2 linked regions of the Drosophila melanogaster genome follow. The protein of the gene in region 2 interacts with the protein of the main gene of each other region in a pairwise test. Each region holds a gene or a part of one and is shown on either strand. Other genes may lie near its edges.

Region 1 (7,499 bases), 4.5 Mb from region 2:
GGCAACGCATTCTGGAACTGCAGTCCAATACATCCGGCGGTCACCTTGCAGCGGGTCTGAAGGGTCTCGGATTTGGACTGCTGGGCGGAGTAACGAGTATTGTAAGACACACTTACGATGGTGCCACTTCCGATGGCGTTCCTGGCTTTCTCAGTGGATTGGGAAAGGGCTTAGTAGGCACTGTCACCAAACCGATCATTGGTGTATTGGACCTGGCATCGGAAACTGCCAGTGCCGTTCGTGAAACAAGCCGAGATAGTCACAGAAACGCTCCGGAAAGGAAAAGGCTACCCAGATGTGTGACTGGTGCTCCTGGTGGTCTTTTGCCATTGTATTCCAATCGCCAAAGCAAGGGGCAGCAATATCTGTACCTAATCAATCAAAAGAACTTTTCGGAGAAGATAATTTCATATGAACCCAATCTATGGAGCGACAAGGAGGCTAGATTGCGCTTGCTGGTTTCTACAGAATACGTACGAATCTTTTCACTAAGCGACGCCAATCCAACCATTATGTTTGAATGTCATGTTAGTGAGATTCTTTCGTGCCATCCAGTGGTAACGAATGCCGGCACAACGCCAACCACGAGCAGCAGGGCGTCGGCCAGTCACTACATCGAGATATCAACCAATCTTCCAAAGATTACCAGGCCCAGGATACGGTGTCGTTCCGAGGAATGTGCTGAGGCAGCATCAAGATGCGTAAGTAGAAATCATCTTAGCAGAAATTAGTAGAAATTATCTTTCAATAATAAACTATTATTGTTGAAGCGCAGACTTTGTTTATCATATAATTTATTTACTTTTACAAATTTTGAAATGATTATCACATATATTCCATACTTGTCTTTTTCTTTTAGATAAACTACGCTAAAAGTGTCTTTGATGAACGTGAACATGCCGTTTTATAAAATGCAATAGGTCGGTTCGTGATAATAAACAAAAACCTTTTGACAACAAATGTTACATTTTATTTTCTTTGGCAATAAGTGCTATTTTAATTTCAAGTAGTAAGTAAAATAAACATTTAAGAAATAATGAACCCACATACTATGGTGTGATATAAATCAAGGATCAAAAAGCGATCGACACGGAATACTATAAACAGATATTACGGATTCATTGTAGGATAAAATGACCGCAGTGTAAATATTGTGTAGATATATTATTTGTCATGACGGGCATTAATACAAAAAAGAATGTTTGTAAAGTTAGTAACATTAATAAATATGGTATTTAATAATCGGCATTCTTGTAATGCTCCTTACGAAACGATGAGAGTTTTAGTCGTTGCATTTGGAGAGCTTGTTCGATTTCGAGTACTTTAACATGAATTTCCATTTCCATCGTTTTAATCTGTGATGGCGTTAGCTTAGAAAGTTCTATTTCACTCTGCTGCTCCAGCTGGGAGTTGCAATCCTTCACGGTGGCGACCAGAGTTCCTGTTGCCTGCGTTACGCTTCGCGAGGCTTTTGTGAGGTCGGTTAGCTTTTGACTATTACGTTCAGCCTTGACTTTGCTCGCAATAACCATTTGGGTCGTGCAGGCAGCAATTTCTTGGGCAGCCACAATGAGTTCAAAGTTCTTGCCAGATTCACTTTCAATAGCCTTGTTTGCAGCTTCCACCAGATAGTTGGCTGCCTTCGCCACACTTTTCGAGGCGGATATCAAACCATCTGACCACTGACTGTTCCGCCTATAAAACTCATTAGCACTCGCATTTCCTGAAAGAGTAATTACTTGTCAGTAACTTCATTGAATTAAAAAATATTGTTAGCTACCTTTTTGGGAAGCCACGATTTCGTGTTGCAGGAGACGAGATTTTTGGATTAGAGCTTTGACACATTCCATCAAGGTGGTACACGCATCCACTATTTTTCCGTTTACCTCTAAATTGGTTTGGTTGTCCTTCTCTCGAGCCTTTGCCAGTAGATCTGTAATTTTGGAGGCTGCATCATCAATCGCAGCGTCCATCTCGCGAAGCTCGATTTCGAGCAGCTTATCTAAATCAATCTTCTGTTCAAATGATGCCTTTATTTTCTCAATCAGCTTTTCAATATCTCTCAGCTTTGTTTGTATATCAGTGATTGTTTTCTGTCTCTCGGGTTCTTTTGTTTCATTATTTAATAAGTATTGGAACAATTGACAGATATCGGTACATAACAAATTTGTTTTTGAGAAAATTTCTGCAAAATAAGTAATACAAAGTTAGTTTGCTGTAGGTGGTTATGTTTTTAGTGTTATCAACTTACCCTGACCTGTCTCAATTGCAGTTGTTGTTTTGTAGATAACATCACATTGATCGTATAGTTTTATAAATACATAACCCAGATACATAACATTTTGCAGTCCTTCGGTTGAAGCAACATAGTTTATAGCCGATGCGTTATTGAACTTATTTAAAATGGTCTCCATTTCGCGTATTATGTTTGGCACCGCATCCAAAGGCTGTTGTTCCGATCCGCTCAACTTCGAATTGCATATTTCCTTTACAGTCTTGATCACCAATTTTCTGAGTTCACTCAAATCGGTACTACAGATTTGGTACGAACTTGTCACGGCATCAATTTGCTGTGTTGCTTGGGTTAGTTTTACCTCAGTAAGCGAGAGTTTGCTTTGCAAATCCTCGTTACGCTGACCCGCTGAAGCATTTTCCTGCCTCAATTGATTCACAATTTCCTGGGTTTGCTGAAGAAAGAAAAGCAGTTTCTATAATTTTCTTGATTTAAATTGGTTTCATTTACCTGTAATGCACTCTCATTTTGCTCCAAGTTGTTTAAAGTTAGCTGCAATTGAGCATTTTGTGCTTCGCTGTTGTTTTTATGCTCTATACCTAACTGCTCTATTTTAGTTAATAGCACTGATTTTTCCGCTTCAAATGCCTTTAAATTGTTTTGAATTTCCAATGCCTTTAAGCTGATTTGGCTTTCTGCGCTGGACAGCTGAAGCTTAACTTCATTGAACTCTTTATCCTTTTGTTCCAAGTTATCCATTATTTCTTGCAATTGAGCGTTTTGAGCTTCACTATGGCTTTTACTTTCAACACTCTGTTGTTCAATCTGAGTTAAGAGCAATGCCTTTTCCGCTTCAAAAGCTTTTAGCATTTTCTCGATATCCTCGGTCTTTGCATTTATTTGGCTTTCGGCGTTCGACAGTTTTTCCAGGGTGTCATTGAGGTTTCCATTAAGCTCTTCGACTTTGAGGCAATTTAGCCTCAGGTTTTCGGAAGTGGAAATAATATCGAGTTCCTGAATTTCCTTTTGTTTAACCACATCATCGAATTTCTCCTTCATCTCGTTTTTGACTGCTTCAAGATGTGCTATTTTCTCCTTGTGCTCTTCGATTTGCTTTTGCAGAATCAAGTTTGTTTTCTCTTTTTCCTCTACGTTTACTTTAATTTTGGAAATTTCATTGGTAAGCTCCTTAGTTTCCAACAATAGTTGTGAGTTTACTTGTTTCTCTTTATTTAAGGACTTGTTGCAATCACTTTGCTGATATAAAAGTATATGAATGAATATTAGTATAGGAAATAGAAAATATTGTGTTTCTGCATACCTCTCTCAGCAGCTGAATGTGCTCATCTCGAATCTTTGTGTATAGAGTTTTAAGTTTATTAAACTTTTCCGACGACAACTTGTGCTTTTCTTCTTCCTCCATAGCTTTTTCTGAAATACAAGGTATTTTTATATGACTTCATTATGTTTAATAAGCATTTAATTACGTAAAAGAATTGGGTTCTGATTCAGTTGCATCTCAAGATCGTCATTTTGCATCCGAAAGGTGGCACACATTTCTCTCGCCAAGACCAGATCATTTGACAGCACAGTATTGTTCTGTTGCAACTCCTGAACGTCGTGTCTGTAGCTTTGCTGCAGTGCGTCGAAATTTTTTTGCATTGCGTCCAATTTGAATGACAGCTCCTCAATGCTAGCCTCTTTCTCGCTGATTATACCCTCCAACATGCTAAGCTGCTGCTGGGCTTGACTGAAGGCTTCCAGCTCGTGATTGTTGGTATCCACAAGGTCTTCAACAACCGGATCGGGCTCCTGGGGAACGTGAACCACTGGCGGTACATAACTGGTGAAATCGTTTTGGGACTTGAAGTTAGGACTTGAGTCCGGCAATTCCGGGATTGTTATTAGGTCCTTGAAATACTGAAGCGGTCGCACGTTGTTGTAAAAACTCTTCAACTTTAAAAACAGACCGTGAAAGCGATCTCTGTGTCCGGAAACAACGTCGTATGGTACACCATCGTGTAGTTTAAACATTAACCGAACGCTTAAATCGTACAACGCATTGGAATCCTGGATAAGGCAAACTATTGGCGCTAATCTACATTGTCCCTGCGGTGTCATCGACGACATTCTGTACTTTTCCATAGATGAAAATATCGTCAATTGCAGCGCAATTATATCCTCCAAGTAGTCGAAAATTTCCACGCACAGTTGAAAACTGGAATCAATGGTTCTGTCTCAGTAGTTTGAAAGTAATATATATCTATTTTTACTTACCAATAATTTAAATCCCTATCCACAGCAATGAAGAGTTCCGTGAACGAAATGTTCAGGGTGCCGGGAAACATTCGATTTTTGTCGTGGAAGTTTAATTTTGTGGCCAAGAGCTTACTATACGCCTGTATGCAGCATCCAATATCGTCCTGCAGCAGGCCCCACATTTTTCCCACCTCCAGTATCATCTTCTTGTGGCTCTGCGAGTGGCGGATGGCACTTTCATGACCCTCTCGCAGGACCTTGTGCAGCAGATGCGAAAACTTCCAGGCAGTAAATCTACTCTGCATCAAAGGCTGCCGGGAGATGATCATCCAGAATGTTTTGGCCTCTTTGGCCTTGTGTATCATAATAATAATGGAGCGGGCATGTTTGGTTTTGAGTGGCGCTTCCAGGCCATTTAAAGCTTTGGACACGCTGACGTTCTGAAATGAAATGTAAATATTATAGTTTAAATGGCTTTTTATTGTTGTACACTTTCGAAGAAGTGACTGACTCAGCTTATAAGATATGGACGGATTTTGGCGGACGATATCTATAGTTTTATACTTTTTAGTGGAATTCGATCTAAAGGGGGTGACTCACTGATCGACTATTTAGTTTGGAAGTGCAAACATTTCGATGCTTTTAAAAATAAGATTCCAAACACCTACACCATGTGTTTGATATGAATTTATGATAACAGAAGGTAATCTAAATACTGGATTTCACTTCTTATCGTGCCGAATTTGGGTTGATAATCAAAAAATTTGAAAGGCCTTTGTGTGCACATTGAACAATTGATCAAAGTGGATGTAGTCCGCATAGCATTCATTGCAGTTTCTAATTTTCTGGGTCATCCGAAGCGGAGAAACTTGGGATTAGCATGTAGTGTAGTCTCTGTGGTGTTGCAAGTCGTGTGAAAAGCTGATGATATTTCGAGCTGTTCCATATAATCTGGTTCAAGGCTGACTTCTTAAGTGAAATGTTTATGCATATTTGAGCGGCGCGCCTGTAGTTGTGTGCATAAACATTTAGGTATTTACACTATGCACATGATATGACAACATCCGTGTGCCTATAATCTGCTGTGGGTATTCTTGGCGGTTTTCTTGGCTTTCCTTTGGGCTTACGTACCAGGTGGTAGAACTCCTTTTCGGCGTGAGTTGCCATTGTTTACTGACAATTCTTGGCGTACTTGCTGAACAAATTCGAATCATTCGCAGCGCGATATATGTGCATTAGAGCAAAGACAGCAAAGACATTGGAAACGGGAGTTATCTTATCTTATCAACAATGTTGGCCATTGTTTTCGTATTGGTCGCGTTCGTATTCATTCGGATTCCGATCGTGTGCGTGTATGAAACAATGAGTGTAAGAGTAAATTAGTCATATAAACAAATGTTGTTTTCCTTTATCGATAAAAGTTAATAGAGCTGGGCGGTGTTCCGATATGCGGGCTTTACCCTATCGATTCGTTTCGATAGTCATCAACTTCTTGCATCACCATTTTGAGCGCGAAAAAAAATGTTTTGCAAATTTTTATTTTTTTCCATTAAATCGAAGGATATTTGAATTGAAATACACTTAAATGAACCAATATTTAAATTATAACATCGAACGCTTTCAATAAAACTTCAGTTAAGTTAAAAATTTAATTTAATTTGATTTTATACGATGGTTTAAAAAAAAGCTTTAGAATGTGTTTTTGAAATTTTTGTGTACTGATTTTCTAAAAAGATAGATTTTGTTCGATATTTATAGATCTGCTACCATATTTTTACTTTAAATAAAAGAACGACAATTTTAATTTGTTTTTAAAGTAATTTTAATTTAATGTATTCTTCCAACTGTTTGGATTAAATTTGGTATTCCGATTGATCATAGTAATCCAAATGTACATTTTGCTGTGGCCAAAACATCTCGGCTGGGTATTGGTTTTGTGGTGGAATGTAACGTCGATTGGGATCTGGAACGGATGTCATCATCAGTTGCGGATGATGATATTGATTGCTATAAGGACAAGCGTGGTGTCTGAAAGTAGGATGCTGTTCTCCGTGAACAAAATTTGGCTGCAGTGAAAATTCCGGTGGCTGGAAGTTGGAATCCATGCGTGTTATATTATACTTATTCACGGTGCGTTCATAGAATCCATCTGGAAGCATTCGAATGTTCTCTTTTAGTTGAGGATTGTAGTCAGGGTTTCTGGCCTGAGAGGAACTTGGGTCTGAAGTATGTACAGATTCCTGAAAATGATGATAGGATCCATGATCCGGCTGACATTGTTCCTTCATTTGAAATTGATGCTGCACGGCTGGTGCTGAAGCTGGTGACTTAGTGGGCATCCACTGATCCCGCGGATCTATAAGGTACCCTTCATCGAAAGGAGTGACATTTTGTGGAGCACTCACAGAGATCTGCGGTTGTAGCATATGATCCGGTGGCTTCGTAAATCCTTGATGGAGACTCGGAGGAAGACCCGTGTATTGATAAGGACACGAGTTACAGGGCGGTCGTCCACAGGTCTGGAGTAGAATTTCCCTGTTACAGGGAGTTCTTGTCTCTATAAGAACGGTGTTCCCATTGATATTTGCCTGGTTTCTGATCCCAGCACTTTCACAACTACGAAGTTTTCGAGGTTGCATTAGGGTTACCGTTTCCAGTGTTTCCACGTCAGTCGATGTATTGGGAGCTAGTAATTGGGAGTTCGGAGGTGGATCTGTCCAAGTTAAGTCAGTAGAATACCCAGAAGCTCCAACCATAGCTGAATTATGCGACCCGTCCTCGTTTTGATGACTATCGCGATGGCTTTGGTCACTATTATTTCTATCACAAGCTAGGTATTCATCTTGTCTGTGCTGGTCAGGATATTGGCTGCTGGCCGAAATGAATCTTCCGCCTTGCGAATTGTTTGAATCATTTCTTTGAATACGTCTAAGTACTGGGTAAGATGTTTGGGATGGGGCTTTTCGTCTATTTTCTGAGGATGGTGGATTGTTACTCAAAGAATCAG
Region 2 (7,936 bases):
CTCCAAAGTGGCTATAGAATAAAAAGTTTAAGCAACAAGTTGTATAGCTGCAACATGTGAGTTGTTTGTAGAAAATTATGAATTATCTATGCGCACGCCACTGTTTCTTTTGAGCGTGCTTTAAACCAAAAGAAATTGAGGGAAAACCCAGTTTATTGCAATTACTTACTCTCCCAGTCATTTCGGAACTCGGGCATGAAGAAGTAATGGCACATTTCCCTCGCCGTCACGCCCTGCACCGTATGATAGGCCTTCAAGGGATCCATGACCAGCCCGTTGACCTCCTCCTCGCGTTTGTACATTTTGATCTCCCCCTCGTCGGCAAAGATTTGCCAGCCGTTGCCGTCTTGGCCAACGCCCTCGCGTGCGTAATGCAGTTGCTCCTTGCACACGCGATCGATCTGCGGGATAAATCCAATTATTGGCTGGTCGTTAGGGGGCCAGATTGGCAATTTCCGGTCTTACCTCCGGCCACAGGGCATGGCTGGTGGCCTCCGCACCCGTGCCGAACTCCTCGCGCGCCTCCTCGCCCTCGGCCACCGCCTCGTGTGGAACGTTGACCAGTGTCTGGGAGATCTGGGACTGCAGCTTAAGCTTGAAGCGCAGCTGCATGTCCTCCTCGATTTTGTCCAGGCCCGTTTCGACCGCATCGAAGAACTCATCCTCGGGCAATGTGGAATGTGGACCCTCCTGCGAAATTGAAAGGGAAATGTCATATTATACATATATCTCCATTAGCATCGAGCAAACTAAGTCAAGTTTAGCCCAAAAGCATCTTTGAAGGTTCGGCCTAATTAATTTTAATGACGAAACCGCATTCAATCCAATTGGAAAGAAATGGAACGTGCTTTGTATAAATTAATCGCCGACACTTGTGCGGCCAAATGGCCCAAGAAAATCAAATTTATGCTGTTGTTTTTTCGCCCATTCCATACCCTGACCAGTCGCCAGGCGGAGATTCTCGTAGTCGGCTGGCATGCGTAATTGGGCGAGCATAATGGACACAAAGGCGCATCATTGTGCCATGAATACGAAAGCAGAAGACCGCCAGACGGGGCTTGGTACTTGGTACTGAATCCCATTAAAGCAGTGGCATCTCGTGGGGAAAAACCACCAATAAGCTACACAATAATACTGCCGAAATTTAATTAAGTTGATAAATTTGCCATTTATAAAATTCTTTTCCTCCTAACAATGTGTTTCGAATTTCGCAACAGAGTTTACCAAATTGCTACTGTAATATACAAACAAAATCATAATATTTTGAGAGTATTTAGAATATTATGCTGAAATTAGGATTGATATATAGGAAAAGTGTCCCTTGAAGTTCGGCCCTTTAGAGGTATACATCCGCTCCATTCTGTGCTAGCCAGTGTTCACTGTACACATTCTGACGTCTGCGACTGGCGCGTGTATCCCCAGAACGGCAACCGGCGCAAAATAAATGCCTCGAATGGAATTTGTGCGGAATTGAATTGATATTTATTAATTAAAGCAGAGATGTGCGCAGCCAAAGGCGGTGAAATAAATACACCCTGCGGCGTGAATTCGAGTGCATAATCATCTTGACCAAGCGGCACTCGCAGCTAACCAACAATGAAGACATGGGCTATATGCGTACTTATTCCTGTGGCGTCGCTATGTCTCCTCTTACCAGGCTCCTCCACCAATTGTTGCAGTTGAACCCAACAAAAGCGAAGAGGTTTTTGGGCGGCAAAAATTAGGCTCCTTCTCAGCAGGAAAAAATCAGGAATCGCACCGCAAGAGAGCCAAAGAGAGAGAGAGAAAGGGTTGCGTGGCAGGCGAAAGCAGGAAAAGTGAGCGCACTTGTGTCCTGGCGAATCCTTCCGTCGAGCACAAGGACACAAAACAAACTGTTGCTGGTGGCCCAAACGCACTGGCCAACTTGGCCAGGATGAGCGGAGCAGAGAGAAGGCCAAAAAAAGAGAGCAGGAGAAAGCGGGCGACTGAGAGTAAAAAGCGAAAAGCGCACAGAGCAAAAAGCTCCAATGGATAGGATTTCTTGCATTTAAATAATAAATCAATTCTTGGGGTTCTTTGGCCACCGCACTTCAAACATTCAACATTCAAAAGCGAGTGGGGTGGCCCACTAATGAGGCCAATTTGGTTAGAAAAAACCAACATCAACATTTTATGAAACTTATTTTAGGCAACATTTCATACACTAAGGAAAAATACCATTATTTTATCAAAGCAATGCTTCCGAACTAATACTTTTATCATAATAAAAAAATATTTGACATTCCACATTCATAGCTGATTAGAAATTTTTCAAAAACACAACGATGTTTGTTAATATTTTTTATCAGCTATATATGCACATAGAAAAAAAATTCAAAATTACTAAAAGTGTTATCAAATTTTATTTGGAGATATATTGAAACGTTTATTGTTTATAAAAGTGATAATACGCCTTGAAATATTTCCATACGAAACACATATTATAAAAATATATTCCACCACTCCTTTATGTAAATTATTTATGATTTTAATTCAGTGTACCTTTATTTTTTTAACGCTGCCCTTCTGAAATCCGCCGGAGCGCCACAGAAATCGCGCCGAGGGCATAGCGTTGACGTTGTTTATAATTTTATAAATTTGTATATTTGTACAGTGATGCGTGCGGCGCTTTTATATTTGCAACATGAACTAGCGATTGCTACAATTGTGTACACTTGTTTATTTATTATAGCTCTTTCAATGCAACGCAAGAAATTTCACAATCTGCACACTCAATTAAATGCCACGACCAATATGAAAAAGAAACAGTCTCGTTTTGAATTGTTTGCCTAGCAAATTTGTTTATAATTGCTACGTGTTGGCCACTCGATCGCTAACCGCCGACTGACCAGCCTAGCTCATAAGCCATAAACCTGACAGCTGTAAGCCAGGCTAAAAGCCACAGCTCAAAAAGTGAGCCGCATATTGAATGCTCTAAGCTTGAACGTATAGTGAAAGATCACGTACATGTTTACTATATATTGTTCACTTAAATCGGGATTTTCTAACAAAATTTTCATATGAAGATCACTGAAGACGTAATAGTTAATATACCCGTTGCACAAAGTGCATTCTAGCCAACGGTTGGATCGTTATTCAACGTCAATATCTGCAATATTGGCTCGAAGTAGATCTTAAGCTACGCCCAACTGTCAAACAGGCCTAATGAAACCGTCTAGACGCCCAGTCTTTCAGCCTGAGTAGTCGCCAAGTAACCGAGCCAAGAATAACAACCAAGTTGAGCACTTACAATTCGTAGGAGAGCATCATTTTTCTAATGCTATTGTGGACATATGCCATTAAAATGGAATTGATTGGGCAAACAAATGTAAGCGGAAAAACGATATTGCATGACCAATTCCAGATTAACACGAACACGGGAACTTCGTGTCAGCCAAAATTCGGAACCAAATACTGGCATTCCATAATCGAATTGAAAACGCTTGAATAATAGTCCAGCGTGTTCTACTTTCCTTGCATATGATGAAATCTCTGACACAACGTCGAATCAGGCAGTTTATTTTAAGACGCCGACAAATCGCACGCAAATCGTTTATACGAATTTCGCGCCACTCATTCGGCGATTGTTTGCATTTTCAGTGGGAACGTGTTTGGCCCCGATTTGAGCAGCAATGACCGTGAATGCGATTACGCTTTTGCTTTTACGAGAGCTGTAAACTTGAACTCACCTCGAAATCTGGGCCAGGATACGATAGACGCTTCATTTTCTCAACTTCATCCTTGAGCTTTCTGCAAAGAAGAAACATAGAATTTTACCATAGTTTTAATATCGTTTAAATGAATAAACTTCAGAAATGAATGTACACATTAAATTTAAATACATTATTAATCCTTTTTTAAATAAATTAAACCATGAAATAGCATGATAATTTTTAAAGAAACGTATGGTTTTCAAGCAAATACAAAAAAGGTAATTGAAATTGCTTCTTCTTGTAGGAATCTATTCCGACTAGGTCAACCTACTTGCTTTGGTCCTCAGAACGTCGACGCTTATCTATTTCACGCTCCAGTTTCCGTTTCCATGACTCATCGCTCTCGGCGATGATTTCTAGGCAATGCTGCAGGGTGGTTAGCACGCCGGACGTTGTGGCCCGAAACGTGATGGATTCGCCCTGAGAAAATCGAGTGTTTTGCTTAGTACACTGTACATATACCAATGGCCCGATAAGTGCACTACTTTACCTTGAAATCGATGGACTTCAGACCGTCGCCCAGGTCCAGTGGTTGCGCATTGTTTTTGTTCACCTCCGAGCAGGCATCAAAGTATCGCTGCAGAGTCTCGATCTGTCCAAATAGTATATCCTTAAAGGTCTCCAGCTCGCCGACTTTTTCGCGCAGGTTGCGCTGCGTCTTCTTTAGGCTTCCTCCGCTGGTCAGCGAGATAGTGTTCGATTGCAGGCTCATGGTACTGCCATGGCGGCGCAAGGAAGTGGTGTCCGTGCTGCCGGAGTCCGCCTTGTACAGCTGCAGCACATCCACCCAGTGCATGCGGTCCTCGCTGGTCTCTGCCCGCAGGCACCAGTTATTTAAGTTGTTCACCACAACATCGAATCGGAGCTCGTCGGACTCATGGGCCTACAAAAGAAAAATAAACTTGAACTTAGTAAAAGGCACAAAATAGGTACAAATAAACGGTTTATCTTACTTATATTTTAAATGAAAATTTCATGCCAGTAATAAGCCAGTTATTAAAACGAAATACAATAAATTCGACGAAAAAAAAACCTAATTAACTTTGAATGGTTGATTATAGCGGAACGCAAATCAGTGGTAAACATGAAATCAACAAGGAAAACACCCGAATACAAGATTATTGTTGGCAAATGGAAATTACAGTGGAACCTGAATGAGTCAAAACACTAAGAGAAATTTGTGAAAATTAATTAAAATTTTAAATGAATCACTTGCAAATAAATCCAATTATTAGTAACTTAAACTACAAGTGAGCTGGTTTCACTGTAAAGTAATCCAAGTAATCCAATCATGATCGATTAAATCGGTGATAATTATTATTTGGATTGTTGGGAAAAATTCTTTGAACTAAATGAGGCTTCAATATCTTTGAATAAGATCAGTGTTCGCAAAGTCAAGGCGAATGAATGGAAGGGCCGCTTCTAGTGAGTCAGCATTGTGTATATGCTTTTGGCAGCTCCTACAGTATAAATAGATAAGTACACACTCATGGCGAAACACCCTCCTAGAACAACACGCCCTCCTGTCAACAGAAGGCCTTCTAGCAGCGCCTAGGTCTGAGGGGTACCCCACTTACATTGATGACTTCAATTTTGGTCTATTTTGGTCGCCCAACGTTAATTGATTGCGCTGCATTGATTGCGTCGCTCGGAATTGGATTGGGAATGGGTGTATTGGCTTGGGAATGGAAACGGAGACCTCAGGTCGCGGTCATCGTTGGTTAATGTGTCGCAAACACATGCGCACACACTCACGCCCATTACTTTTTTATTAGTCCAATTGAAAGCACTTGGGGAAGGAGCTCCACCCTCTCTCTTTTCGGCCGTCCTACCTTAATGGTGGCCTTGGTCAGGCTGATGGCTCCGCGGCACCCGAAATCCGACTCCGATTCGGATTTATAGTAGGAGAGTGTACCATCCTTCAGGACTATGTAGCGTGGCTGCCATCCATAGATGTAGTTCGTCCACTTGCTGAGATAGCCCCTCAGTTCGATACTGTTGTCCAGATACTCCTCCTCCTCGGAGGCATCGCTCTGGGACTGTGATCCCGCCGCTGCCTCATTGCTCGAGGGCGGCGATGCTCCCAGCGACTCCCCAGCGTTCGTGTCCATCCTCTTCCAGCTCCGGAGTTCAACTGCCAAGTTATCTATACAATGAAACGGTTCGGGGGTATCTTAATCAGCAGGTTGCCGCAGAAGATTAAAAATATATTGCGCCACGTCCGCGCAATGTAAACAACTACAATGCCGGCTGGCAATTTGATGGGAGCTCCTATCGTGATAATCCAATTCAATCAGCGATCGCATCGCCTGACTCACAGCACCGCCTTTTCGCGGTTCTGAAGCGCCAGCTGGCCCCCACCCAGGAGCACTCACCTTTCGTTTATTGATTTCCTCGACGATCCGCAAACATCTGTGCAACACGTAATGCTCTGGCTTGTTTGTGGGAGGCTTGGTAAATAAGCGAAGAGAACTCACGACGCTGATGTTTTTTTCGCTGCAAAACCAAAACAAAGCTGACCTAGAGATGGTCTGACGACCGACGGTTCCTTCGATAAGTCGTTACGCTATCGATGTCTTACTCTCGATAGTTGTCAGAAGTGCCTTTTTCTTCTTCTTATAAATACACAAAATTTGAATTTAAATCTTCCCTTTAAAATGAGCAATTAGTTAAGTAATTACATAACTACAAACCGAGCACTAAGTACCGTTAAGTATTATTTTGCTTCATATATTACTTTCACAAAAACATGGAGAGTACCCAAATCTAGCTGCCAGTGTAACCACTTTAATTTGGTTTCAAACTTTGATTTGTAACTGCTGATAGTGCTGTGCAATGCAGGCAGTTGTCGTTTTTGGCGCCAGTTTAAATCTAAAAACGCAATGTTGTACATATCTTGGCCATTATTGCCGTAAGTTGTTATTTGAATGAAAACAATTATAAAGCACCTTTCAAGGGAAATTTATTTTCTATTCATTCGACACGTTTTCATTTGTTGAAAGGAAGGAATTATGCCACAATTTCAATTATTTACAGACCACTAGACAAACATGGATACAAATCTAAGCAATTAACAACGCCTACGACTAACAATAAATACAATGCGTAAATAAAATAAATAATTATAAATTAATTAGTACACGTTAATTACAAGCAAGTGACTTTGAGGACGCGCTCAACTCAATCGTAATCCTAACATCTAGACGAGGTCAACAATAGGGGTTCGCATGGGAGTTGGTCATTGTTCTACATATACACATTGTTGTCCTGATCCCGAGTGGTGGGCAGTTGAATGACCTGCTCCTCATGATATTCGCCCACCGGTCTGTCTGTGGGTTTTGTCTTTTTCGTCTTGCTCGCAGGAGCTGGTTTGCTATACTTGCTGGACAAGGCCTTAAATATACTCTTCGGACAGTCCTTGAAGTAGGGAAAACATTCTCCTGGTGCTTGCTTTCCCTCGCCCACCTCCTGGGCTTGTACATAGTCGGGTACCAGGTCGGAAAACGGAGATTTGGTTACCCTATAAGAGAGATCTGTGTAACAAAGAATCACGATTGAAAGGAGGAAATTACTCACGTTAAAAATAGCTTTGTCATTTCTCCAAAGACACCGAACTTCTCCAAACTTCGTGAGTGCATCTCACAAATGGTTCTCAGCAAACAGGCCTTGCCATCCATGCCAAAGGTGGATAGAAAGTCCTCCACTACGCCATAGAGCAAAACCCGCTCTCCGCCATGGAAAATATGCTGCAGTCCGGCTGGCAGCTCCGGATACTTTGGACCCTCTTCGTGTATCCTAAAGGGATGATCCTCGTTGCTTCTGCTCCGCTGCTCGCTGAGATCCCTCTTCCTGCGCTGGACATGCAGATACCTCGCCACATATTCACCAACCATGTGGCCTGCCTCGTGACCAAAGGAGCGGGCGAACAGCGGCGGCAGATCCCCCAGAGGATTTTGGTTGTCTGTCAGGCCCAGTTTGTCGAAGTCAACTGTGGATTGAGGCAACAAAAATCAGAGTTAATTGATTAATCATTGACATTGAGAGCTGTCTACGCACTGGTGACGGGAAAACTGATGGTCAGGTTGGAGAAGAATCCCTCGGGCGGATGCCGAACCAGGGGCATGGCAATGGTTGGCACGAATGTCAGCGAAGTGCCCGGCGGCAGGGCCAATCTGCCATCATCCGTAATCCAGATGAGTCGC

Evidence for each region.
Region 1: the proteins of cert (region 2) and Hip1 interact in a two-hybrid assay, tested with the Drosophila melanogaster proteins (one large-scale study listed by BioGRID).

Annotation. Positions count from the first base shown.
Region 1 is NT_037436.4:12,767,652-12,775,150, forward strand, and holds Hip1 (huntingtin interacting protein 1), read right to left. Parts: upstream 5,923-7,499; 5' UTR 5,660-5,922; coding exon 5,624-5,659; intron 5,569-5,623; exon of another isoform or gene 5,093-5,568; intron 4,933-5,092; coding exon 4,511-4,932; intron 4,452-4,510; coding exon 3,721-4,451; intron 3,665-3,720; coding exon 3,555-3,664; intron 3,491-3,554; coding exon 2,744-3,490; intron 2,688-2,743; coding exon 2,252-2,687; intron 2,186-2,251; coding exon 1,781-2,185; intron 1,724-1,780; coding exon 1,236-1,723; 3' UTR 911-1,235; coding exon of another isoform or gene 860-910; 3' UTR 781-859; downstream 1-780. Other genes in the region: Vps13D (vacuolar protein sorting 13D), read left to right, coding at 1-701, 860-910; CG32106 (uncharacterized protein), read right to left, coding at 6,346-7,499.
Region 2 is NT_037436.4:8,283,604-8,291,539, forward strand, and holds the start of cert (ceramide transfer protein), read right to left. Parts: upstream 6,268-7,936; 5' UTR 6,110-6,267; intron 5,881-6,109; 5' UTR 5,846-5,880; coding exon 5,567-5,845; intron 4,618-5,566; coding exon 4,225-4,617; intron 4,155-4,224; coding exon 4,006-4,154; intron 3,772-4,005; coding exon 3,711-3,771; intron 2,867-3,710; exon of another isoform or gene 2,590-2,866; coding exon of another isoform or gene 2,524-2,589; intron 691-2,523; coding exon 466-690; intron 402-465; coding exon 170-401; intron 12-169; coding exon 1-11. Other genes in the region: CG7201 (uncharacterized protein), read right to left, coding at 6,981-7,254, 7,311-7,722, 7,791-7,936.